Linked DNA regions of Schizosaccharomyces pombe. Changing the gene in region 3 together with the main gene of any one other region gives a genetic interaction. Each region holds a gene or a part of one and is shown on either strand. Other genes may lie near its edges. The genes, in order: syj2, pph3 and amo1.

Region 1 (3,758 bases), 2.3 Mb from region 3:
ATAAGCGGAAGTTCTTTCGCCAAATGGAAGTAACAGCCTTTTAAATTCATCAGTGCTGGGTACTTTACCATTTGCATTAAATGTCGACGAAAATATGCTAAAATCCCTTTCGACTCTATATTCAGAACGACGTTGTCTTAGCACACCTTGGATGTAAGAAGACACGGATTCAGATATGAGTACGGGACTTTGATTCGGAAAACATCCCAACAGCAATAAAATGGCATTTTGAGATTCTACGTCTGGATATCTTCCAACATACATGCGGCCAAAAGATTTGGATATATCACTTAAAGATCCCGCAATAGATTTACGACCTCTACGGGTAGCGCTTGAACCAATGGAGCCAACCCCTGTAATTAGTTTCGCAATAGCATCACCGTTATTAGACCAGAGATGTCTTAGGTATTCAAGAATATTGAAAGTTACTCCTATTTGAAGGTTAAAAAATATATCCTTTAATACTAATCGAGATATTTGATACTGAATAACGTTTGTGCGTCCCAGACAATCCAAATCATTAATCCGAAACACTCCTTTTTGGAAAGATTCCAACATGTCATTTTCAATAGACTTTTGAGTATAGCCCATCTCTTTTAAATCGTCGGCCAAATCGGTCTCTAATCGTGGATCAATGTCAGGACGAGCAGGATCAGGTGTAAAGTGGAATTTCTTGACAACGGCAGGAAAAGGTAGAAGCATAAGGTGATGCTTGTAAGCTTCATATAGCGAAGCTTCAAAGCCTTTTGTTTGTAAAAGATCGATTACATATATATCACCATAAGCTTTGTATAGCTTACTAAAGTGAAAATTAAATAGACTTTGACTTGCCTGCGAAGATCTCAAAAAAGAAATAGAGGGTCCATACCAAGAAGAGAATTGTTCCTCCCAGAAACATGGGACTGTCCCTCGAACTTGTACGAAGCTAAAGACCGTTTGTGCGATCTCGACAATAAATTCTGTCTCCACAAACATAGAACAATAAGACGAATCATCAATACCAGAGGGAGGGTATGTTTGCCGAGAGCCATAACTAGATACCTTGGAGATTATACTCATAGACATACTATCAATGAACATTCTCTCAACATAACCCCGAAAGCAATGGAGCAACAGGTTCGGGAATTTCTCCAAAATATGGGCTTCAGAGAAGTGGTTATCCAATTCCGTTATGAGAAATCTATTCCAACAATAAATATCTTTGGGACCATAAGGCTGCTCGGATTGAAACCTTGAAAAGCAAGAAATATTTGTAGAGACATAAAATGAACCATCGGTGAGCAAATCGGTCAATTGAGAAAGGGAATGATATGGATATATCCTAGTAGTTGAAGAGTATTTACTAGAATATTCGCTATTAACCAAATTATCTTTTTCAATATTATTCAAGTCAGAAGTGCTTGTCGAAAAAGTAGAGCTTGGTGAACTATTACGAGGCATGGGTTCGAACAACTCTTCATCCCATAATTCCTGATCTAAAGAGATGAAGGAGACATTTTCAAGTTTCGAAATTGGGTCTCTATTACCAATTCGAAGCACTAGTTTTGCTTTCCGGGCAACGCATAGGAAAACGCCTTCTTTCATATCCTCACATACATAATTAAACAACCCAAGGGTTCCCAATATCTTCTCTCCTCCAAAAAGTAATTCATATTCCTTTATCTTTTCGAATTCTTCAAGTGAGATACAAGTGAATGTTATTATGCAATCAGAATCCTTAACAGACGGTTTTTGAATAATTGCCGCATATTTCTCTGTAATAAATGCAACAGATCTTTCTTTTCGTTTGAGATAGCACTGCATGGCAGGAAATAAATATATGCTTATTTCCTGCTTTGCGTGGATGGTAGACACTAAATACGTAGATATACTGACGCAGTAAGGAGATACACATAGCTAGCAAGTATTGTAGATTTCCAGTGAAAAAGTTAAATTTAAGCGTTGAAACAAAAGGAATGTCCTGAAAATATTTATTTAATCGTATTGGTTGAAAACCTGATAAACTTCAGCTTGTTATCATCAATTATATTATACAAATTGCCAAACTACCGAATATATATGCGTAAGAAATACGCTTTTTAGCGTTTTAATTTGGCCTGTATATATGAAAACAGTAAAAAAAGTTGTGTAAAAGCTAAGTTCGACCATTTCATTACAATCTAATTCCTATGTACATTAAGTTATACATTTTGATCTCTAGCTGTATAACGCACGTGTAATAACTGAGAATTTGGAAATGCATTGTTCAATACGATAGCATATGCGGAAGGATGTTCATGATGAATAAAGGAGGACTCCATTCGTAAACCATTTTGGTTCAATAAGGCGACATCCCATGCTGTATCAGAACCAAAAAGCGTTTGATTTGTAACGAGTGAACTTAGAAGTGGAACATCACAAGAGCTATCATTGTAAAGCAATTGCCATTCTACTGAGGCATTCCTTGGTAAGGCATCAACCAACGCAACCAAAACAGGACTTGACTCCCCAGTATTTTTTGTATATTCTGACCAAATTTTAACAACACAATCCGCATCACGAGAATCACAAACATATGCCAAGCATGCTATGAGTGAACCTACTCGCATTGCTTTTGCAACACGATTTGCGTGTTGAAGAGCCAGTACCATCTCAAATATTTTGTCATGAAGTTTTAACTCCATAACTGATGGTATTAAACCAATTTGTCCAGAAATGAAAACAACACCATTTGCACAGATCGACTGCGAATATGGACCAATGTTGGCTGGCGCCCAATAACTTTGCCCTTGAACATGAAGCGCTCTTTTCTCGGTTACATCTCCAACAATACAGGACATGACTATCCTATACTCACTAGCTAGAGGAGCTGCGACGCAAGACCGGGAAGGTGGGTTCGTGAAATCAAAATATTTATTGTAAACAGAGTTAAATTCTGCAAACTTAGACATGGAAGATAAAATGACGGTTACAAAGTAAACATTTTTGTTAGAATATCCATATGTACCAAGCAGTTCTAGGAAGTTAGTATTCTAGCGGTTTAAAGGAAATGTTCGGTGGCATAGCCGAATCAAGAATATGATTAACGAAGACAATCAATATGTAACTTACCATTTAAGTTGTTTATAGCAGATTCAGCTTCACCTTGAAACGTGTTATAAGATCCTTTGGTAGCAACCACATTACCCAATACTAAAAATGAGCCCTTTTTTTGCTGAAAGGCGCTTTCACGAAGAGGAATTGGGATAAGAGAAGTAGGCGTCTCCTCTTGATCGTCAATAAGTTCGTATTTTTTAGATATAGTATGATAAATATGTGAATATTCTTCCCCAAGTAATTCTTCATTTGGAACTAATTCACTTTTCAGCGAGATAGGTTGCCATTCAGGCTTATCTTTAACACAGGCCTTAACTTTCAAATAACAGACTTCCCCAGAAGAATGCTCAACAACCTCTTTATCAGTCAAAACAATTCGCTTCTTGAACAATGGGCAATCTAAAACCAATGTTTCGTATTCACCTCCTTCACCGCAAGGATGCAGTTCGAATTTTTTATTTAGGGTAAGAAGTTTATCTTGCATTTCAGCTAGAGATTTCCCCAAATCCTTCCTCGTAAGGCCAATTGCAGCTACTTTGATCAAGATGGCATTCAAACCAGAAACAACCATATCGTTGAGTAATTTTTCCTGATCTTTTTGCCAAAGAAAAGACAAGCTTTTCAAACCTAACCGTTTGCAAACATTTTCTACTCGAGTCCGTTGATATGTGGAAAGTATAGCG
Region 2 (3,758 bases), 930 kb from region 3:
AAACCGAGCATTTTGCAATCTACTTTAAATTACCTTCAGAAAGCGACTAAACAATCTTGTGCGTTGAAAGTTAGCTTAAAAAAGTTACAATTAAAATTTAACTTAATTACTTTTTAAATTTATGATGTCCTAAACAAATCAATATTGCTAAAATAACCAAATTCCATAAACAAGAATTAAATAAGTGCAGAATTAAAAATGAGAGACCAATAAGAAGAGTTAAGGGGATAATCTTTAGTACAAGTTGACCTATATACATGATATTGGGGAAGTGAAGTAGAGCAATGAATTTTGAATAATCATAAAAAGTAGTCGGCAATGGGTCGTTTTGTTGGAATGCCAGATCTTTCTTGAGAGGCAGTACCAAAAATCTTAAAGGATTGCGTTTGGTTTTCATCAAGTTGTAATATAGAAGCAACATTTCCACATCTGTAACAGTAATTGGGTGCACTCCAAACAGTAACCACGCTTCCTTTATCCTTTTCTGGAATGGTTATTATGTCTCCAGGTGCCGGAGAATCATCAACAGGTGAGGCAGAATCTGAATCCAGCTCAGAGTCCTCTTCATTTGTAAATTTGGGATACTGTTTATCTTTATCGGAAAAATGGATTTTGTAACCCTCCATAACCAATTGATGAGCACGAGCAATGAATGAAAGGTCATTAGCGCGATTAAAAACTTCAGAAACGTCGGCACCAAACAAAAATCCAGCACCTCTGGGAGATAAACCCCATCCACTAATATCTTCTGGATCTGACCAAAGTAGATCACACATTGCTCCTTCATGCGGAACTTCTTGTTTTCGATCCAACAGTCGAATCTTCATAAAAAGCGTTAAAAGTTTAGTTCAAATTTTCGGAATTAATAACATACCTGATCGATACTGCTGATGCTTGGTGAAAGTCCACCGTGCACACAAAAAACCTTTCCATCCACCAAAGCACCAAGCGAAAGATAATCAAATATTTCACAACAATATCGCCATACATTGGCAGAACCATATTTCCTTACACATTCGTCATAAAATCCATAAACTTGTGTTATTTGTCGTGATTCATGATTTCCCCGGATAAGGGTCATCTCTTTCGGATATTTACATTTTAAAGTCAATAACAGGAGAAATGTTTCTACAGAGTAAAACCCTCTATCAACAAAATCCCCTAGAAATAAATATTTTGTACCTGGACATGACCCACCAATTCGAAAAAGCTCCAGTAAATCATGCAATTGGCCATGGATATCACCACAAATGGTTACAGGAGATGAGATCCATTGTATGTTAGATTCCTCAATTAAAATATCTCTTACACGCTGACAAAGTTCAACAACTACCACAAAACGTTAGACCCCATTCTTATAATTATGGCAAAGAACAACCAATATGAATGATCGTTGTTATATCGACGGAGATAAAAGTTATTCTATAAATACTATTATACATACCATTTGATTCTGGAATTAACCTTCCGTTCTCCAGTTCCTCAAGTTGCCAATCCAAATCTAAATCAGTCATTTTGAACTCGTCAAAACATAAAGTAAAGAAAACTAGAATAACTTGGTCCTTTAGAATAAGAAAATAAACAAGTGAAATTCTTTTTCAACTTTATGTATCATTTAAGAAATTTAATTTTAAATAAGTCAAAATACCTCTGTCAAGAGGTATGACGCGTAGAGCTTTGGTGACTAAAATTCGGTTTTCCTTTTGATAATGACTTTTAAAATAATTAACATGACCTCCTTAATTAGCAGCTTCCGAATTTTATTGACACATACGTTGCGTTACGCTAGATTGTTTTTCAGAAAAATACGGTTGCTCCACCATTATTAGTGCTTTCATCTCGAAATGAAATGGACACAAGTTTTTGTATTAGATTGTTTTTTTTTAATCATTTATACTTAAAATTAATGATGAACTAGAATCTTTTAATTAAGTTGCATGCTACTCCAGTATGATTATTATAGCATGCCGTATTATCATTGATCTTGAGTTTTTATAACGCTAATACAAGAACGTGCACCTACTCATATATATATCTAGATTATAAGAAAAACTCCTATAGTTCTAACGGATCTAAATTGTTCGCACAAATGCGCAGCTTTGATGTTATAGGGTTTTTGTGAAATAAACTACATAACACTATAGCTTCTTGGTAAAAATCAGATAACACTCACAATTATAGGTAAAATAATCTGTATGCTGAAGGCGTACCCCTGTGGCGGAATATACACTCAATATAGAAAAACTGTATAGTCAATTCGTGTTGCAAACCCATAATTTATGTGAAGCTTTAACATAATTTGCATACTATTCTTTACTTATGTTCAGTCGGCAACTCAAGATGTTCAAATAACTAAAAAGATTTTAGAAATATATTCTTTCTATCTTTCAATATGGTTTACTGCAATTTGCGTACTATCAAAAGAATGAGGTGTGTAAGAAATGCTTGCCCTGAGCAGTACAATGCAATTTTTTAATACTTTAACTATATCAATCAATGTGTATGCTGTTGTTTTTATCAAGTATGAAACATATCTCATCTTGGTTGTTTTGGTCGCTTGTTATAAACTCATTTGGCTAGTAAAGCGACTGTTAATTTTATGTACAACATACAAAAATAAAATGTTAACAGAATTGTTTGGGTATTACGTAGAATCGGAGTATAAGCGCAACACACTAGTTTTTTTTGCCGAAAAAATTATTTTCCAGACGTTTTAATACCGAGGGATAAAGTTATCTGATCAGTCACGATGGTAATTAAAAAAATGAGATCGAGAATGCCGTTTAATGAATAGACAATGAAAAAAGTGAAGAAGAATCATCAAAACGTACATCAAAAGTGGTTTAACTAAAAAATTTCGAGTAATTTACTTGGATATGTTTTTTGCTGCAATTATATCATTTGCGTCGCCTATTGTGCAAGGAAGAGATTTTACTAGATACGTTTTCTACACTGCTCAGCCGAACCTGCCGACAACCAACTAGGAAAAAATAGGGCGTTGATTGTTGATTAAAAAGAATAAACTAGGTTTTTGAAAAAAAAAGTAGGAAAAGAAATAATTCCTCAAGCTGTGCTATTTTGATTGGAAATGAGCGTCGAAATTACTTTTGTTGAACAATTTCAAGAGATATTGCAAAATGGAAAAGAGCAAATAATTTTACTCAATTTTTATGCACCATGGGCTGCTCCATGCAAGCAAATGAACCAAGTCTTTGATCAATTTGCAAAGGACACGAAAAATGCCGTTTTCTTAAAAATTGAAGCTGAAAAATTTTCCGATATAGCAGAGTCGTTTGATGTAAACGCTGTTCCTCTATTTGTTTTAATCCACGGAGCAAAAGTTTTGGCTAGAATTTCGGGGGCAAATCCTCAAAAATTGAAGGCTGCTATTGACGAGTATATTCAACCCCTTATCTCCCAAATATCCTCTACCAACGCGTCCGTGGAAACTCAAGTAAATTCCGTTCAGACTACCAACACTACTTCCAATACCTCTAAAGCTCCAAATGGGTTGGATTCTGAACTAAATGAAAGGTTGAGCACGCTAACAAATGCTCACAATGTTATGCTCTTTTTAAAGGGTACTCCTTCAGAACCTGCATGTGGTTTTAGTCGTAAGCTCGTTGGATTACTTCGTGAGCAAAACGTTCAGTATGGATTTTTTAACATATTGGCTGATGATTCTGTACGCCAAGGTCTTAAAGTGTTTTCCGATTGGCCAACTTTCCCTCAATTGTACATTAAAGGTGAATTCGTCG
Region 3 (3,758 bases):
AAATCTGGAGTGAATTGTGTGTGGAATTGGGACAACCATCTCTTTAGACCCAATAGGCGTGCAGGACAGTTCTGTCCTCTATATCAAATCAGCTATCAGTTTGATTCATGAATTAATAACAAAAAATAGTACTGTTTTCTTTCTAGAATTTTACAATGATACATAAATCGAGTTAGGTACAACTTTATCAGATAGCCGTGTAGGAAAGCATCACACTTTGTCTAATACTCGTAATTGAAATTACATATATATATATATATATATATTTACAACCTAATATCGAATATGAAATTTGAACAAAGTTTAATACTAATCAAAAATCCCCGAAAAAACTTACGTTGAATAACTATTTTAATAAAATAATTAACAAAATTGTGGTGGAGGGGCTGTTGTTGGAACTTTTCCGGGAATGAAATCTTGAGCTTCAAATTGCTGAATCATTTCTGGGGGAAATGCGAGATTTTGATTGGAATTACTCATTTCTACTTGATCATCCAAAGTTTGGATAGAAGAAGCACCTATTGGATTAATCGGACCTGTCGATGATCGTTAGTCATATTCGTATACTAGCAAGGATACAAAGTAAAAAAACTTACCGTCAATTGTGTTAGAAGATCCAAACATAGGAGTTTGGATTATATTTTTGTTAGCAGGATTATCGTTAGAAAATCCTGAAGCGGATATTTTAGAGGTTACATTGGCAAATGGAGATTCAAAAGTAGTATTAGGCGGAACAAAAGGGCCTTGAGGTTGTTGCATAAAAGTAGCAGGGGGCTGAACAGTAAAACCATTTGGGTTCACTGGTTGTGTTAAAGATGTATGACCAAAAACTGGTTGTGAATTATTAGGAAGCGAGAATTGAGTATTCAAATTTTGAAAAGCTGATTGCTGAGGCTGATTCTGTATTCCAAAACCGCTGGCAACAGTAGGACCGAAAATCGAACTTGGATCATTCACATTTTGACTTTGTGAAAACCCAGAAGCAACTTGTGAAAACGAGGAGAATGATGAGTTAGGAATCCCTTGTCCGGAATTAACAAATGACGAATTTGGCTGAGATATTCCCCCAAATGCTGATGGCCCTGAGGTTGCCGAACCAAAACTAGACGAACCAAAAGAAGATGGGTTGTTTTGGACTGGATTACTTCCCGTAAATGAATTTGAGGATGTATTTTGAGAAAATGGAGACGCATTTAATTGCGATGTAAATGCAGAAGTCGTAGGGGCGCCAAAAATATCGTTTGCTTGCTGATTGTTATTGAAAGAATTATTGTTATTTGAAAAAGAATTGAAAGGACTATTTTGAGTTGGCTTGTTGAACTGATTAGACGTAACCGTTGAATTGCTAGTAGACTTATCAAAAATTGACTTATAATTTGTCTTTCCGACGAGTTTATTTCTCATTTCATCGAAAGCAGCAGCAGGCGACCGTTTAACGGCTGCTGCTTTTGCTTCTACATCATCCATCAACTGTTTCTGGCGTTGTTCATATGCTTGCATATTGTTTGTCGCTTTAGCCTGATATGCCCACCACCGCAATTCTTCAGGCGAAACATCGCCTTCATAAATTGATGGTAGATTCTCAACTACTGAATAACCTGTAAAAGGCCATTGTGGTTTTGCGTTTTTAAGATCGTCGTTAATATCCTTCATTCTTCTATTGGGAAGCAAATTATCTAAATCGCTTCTCTTCAAACGCCTTTGTACCCATATTGGAGGTCGTCCATTCTCTGGACGAAAGACATTAACCTTAGAAAATGCATTTTGTCCATTAGAAGGTACCGTATGTTGATTTTTACAATTGGTACCATACCTGCACCGATTTTGAAGGAAATACTTACAAACGACCATGTTGTTGAATAGTTGAAATGATATGCTAAAGATAAGTATAAAAATGTATCATAATCATATGTTATACTCCAAATTTTCTTATTTTTAGAGTGGGCGTCCCATTTGGAATCGTAGTGTGGTGTAGCGTTATTGCTCCAATTAATCATAAAGTAAAGGAATTCAAAGAACAATTATACCATCATTGGGAGTCTGATTTTTTAGTTGTTGATGATTCAGAAGGTAAAATAAATCCAATAATATTATGAATCCAATGCTTATAGGAGACATTTTCTTTTCGCCAACTGCGAGATATTAGCGCCTTCATGAATTTTACTGTAATTCCTTGTTCATCCAAGAATTCAAGTAAACTTGACTTGATAGAAGCTGGAACGTGCTTTGTTTTTCTGCCAGTGTACTTCTGTGATTTTTGTAAAATTAACCTCAAGTCAGATGAGAACGCTTGAGAGTTTTGAGGTGATTGAAAAGAAATGCTATCAAAATGAAGCATGCCCTTACAAAGTATTAAAGCACACAAAATTGTGCCATGGTTCTATAATTGTAAGTTATAATAACATGTTAAGATCTTACGTTAGTGAGTTGGACATAAGCAGGAATTGAATGCTGAAAGAACACTAGTTCATCAGATGTTTCGTTACCATTTTCATTTTCAGCACTATGCGTTATCGGCTTTGTTTGGACGTAACTTTTACGAGAGCTATATACGGGAACAGTAACGCGTATTCTAGCTACGTTAGTACTATTATATCGAAAGAAATTTAAAGGCTCTGCTGAAAGCATAATCTTAAACGTTGTATATTAGCCAACGCATAGACATGAAATCACATCGTTGAATTCAACAAACAATTGAGGAAAAATAGCTTACCTTTCCTTTGCCGTTTCTTTTAAAGCTGAAATGTAGTTAAGCGAAGGATCTTCATGGATTATAAAAGAATGAAGAGCCTTTTCGTATCCTTTTTTAGGTAATGTCTCATCAAGAACCTGTTTCACGTAACCCAGTTCAGAATCTAATTTCAACGCTAGTTGCTCCGTTAGGATACCACTTGTAAATTTTCGTTTACTACGAAACATATCAAAGTAAGAAAACCTCCTTTCGCAATTAAATAAAGGATATTTAAAGTTTCGTGCTGTAGAGATCGCTTTTCTGAGCATTTTGAAGTGCAATAAGCTGAAGAATAGAATTGTTACAAGCCGTCCAACAAAGATTTGCTTCTTCAATGGATTGATGAATTGTACAGATTATAAATATTTAATGCAATGGGGCATATGACAATAAGCACTTTAACTGAATTTGCTTCCTTATGAGAAGTACGCAAAGCAGTGACTTTAAAGTAATACAGCGGTTTTCACTAAAGTGCTTGTATACCATAGCAATGGATGAAGAAAATAATTAATGGAAAAATCATTATTGTAGACATCTGATTAAAGAAAAAAATAAAGAAATTAAGACTATGAAATTCTTTTTCCTGGTTTTTTAACGGCGTCGATTATAACCATAATGATGAAGATGCGGTTTTTGAATGAAATTGAAAAAATTGGCACAAAATTTTGAAAACATGACTAATAATAAACGTGATGGTAATTTCCGTTTGGACCATGCTGCATATAATACGGATTCGCATACCACAAACCATTCTCACGTTTGGTAAACGGACGATAAAACGCAGAATATGAATGGTTTATTTTAGCTTCAACATTGTATAGAGGGGGAAACTGGCATGTTTCTTTACGATTATAATGATTTCTACTTTTTCGGTGATTAATTTGTGGAATCCAAGTTTTAGCTCCGGGGTTCATGCGAGAAGTATTTGCTCGAACTTTCAAAGGAAGTTCTTTTCGGAGGTATTCTTCTCGGGCTTTAAGCGCAACTAATAATTAATAATTTAACATAAATTAGTCTACTTACGCTC

The links.
Region 1: mutations in amo1 (region 3) and syj2 together harm fitness more than expected from each alone (negative genetic interaction), as found in Schizosaccharomyces pombe (one large-scale study listed by BioGRID).
Region 2: mutations in amo1 (region 3) and pph3 together harm fitness more than expected from each alone (negative genetic interaction), as found in Schizosaccharomyces pombe (one large-scale study listed by BioGRID).

The regions. Positions count from the first base shown.
Region 1 is NC_003423.3:773,818-777,575, reverse strand, and holds the start of syj2 (inositol-1,4,5-trisphosphate 5-phosphatase 2), read right to left. Parts: upstream 1,856-3,758; 5' UTR 1,804-1,855; coding exon 1-1,803. Other genes in the region: dph6 (endoribonuclease), read right to left, coding at 2,181-2,995, 3,091-3,758.
Region 2 is NC_003423.3:3,954,416-3,958,173, forward strand, and holds pph3 (serine/threonine protein phosphatase), read right to left. Parts: upstream 1,672-3,758; 5' UTR 1,515-1,671; coding exon 1,445-1,514; exon of another isoform or gene 1,330-1,444; coding exon 875-1,329; exon of another isoform or gene 841-874; intron 822-840; coding exon 300-821; 3' UTR 137-299; downstream 1-136. Other genes in the region: CIA machinery monothiol glutaredoxin Grx4, read left to right, coding at 3,089-3,758.
Region 3 is NC_003423.3:3,028,342-3,032,099, forward strand, and holds amo1 (nuclear rim protein Amo1), read right to left. Parts: upstream 1,885-3,758; 5' UTR 1,852-1,884; coding exon 597-1,851; exon of another isoform or gene 537-596; coding exon 364-536; 3' UTR 344-363; downstream 1-343. Other genes in the region: SPOM_SPBC15D4.11C (Mam33 family protein), read right to left, coding at 2,030-2,380, 2,419-2,572, 2,714-3,000; protein mug98, read right to left, coding at 3,409-3,716, 3,755-3,758. UniProt on the Schizosaccharomyces pombe protein: Involved in the cell polarity process where it is required for the correct termination of microtubule growth at the cell ends during interphase.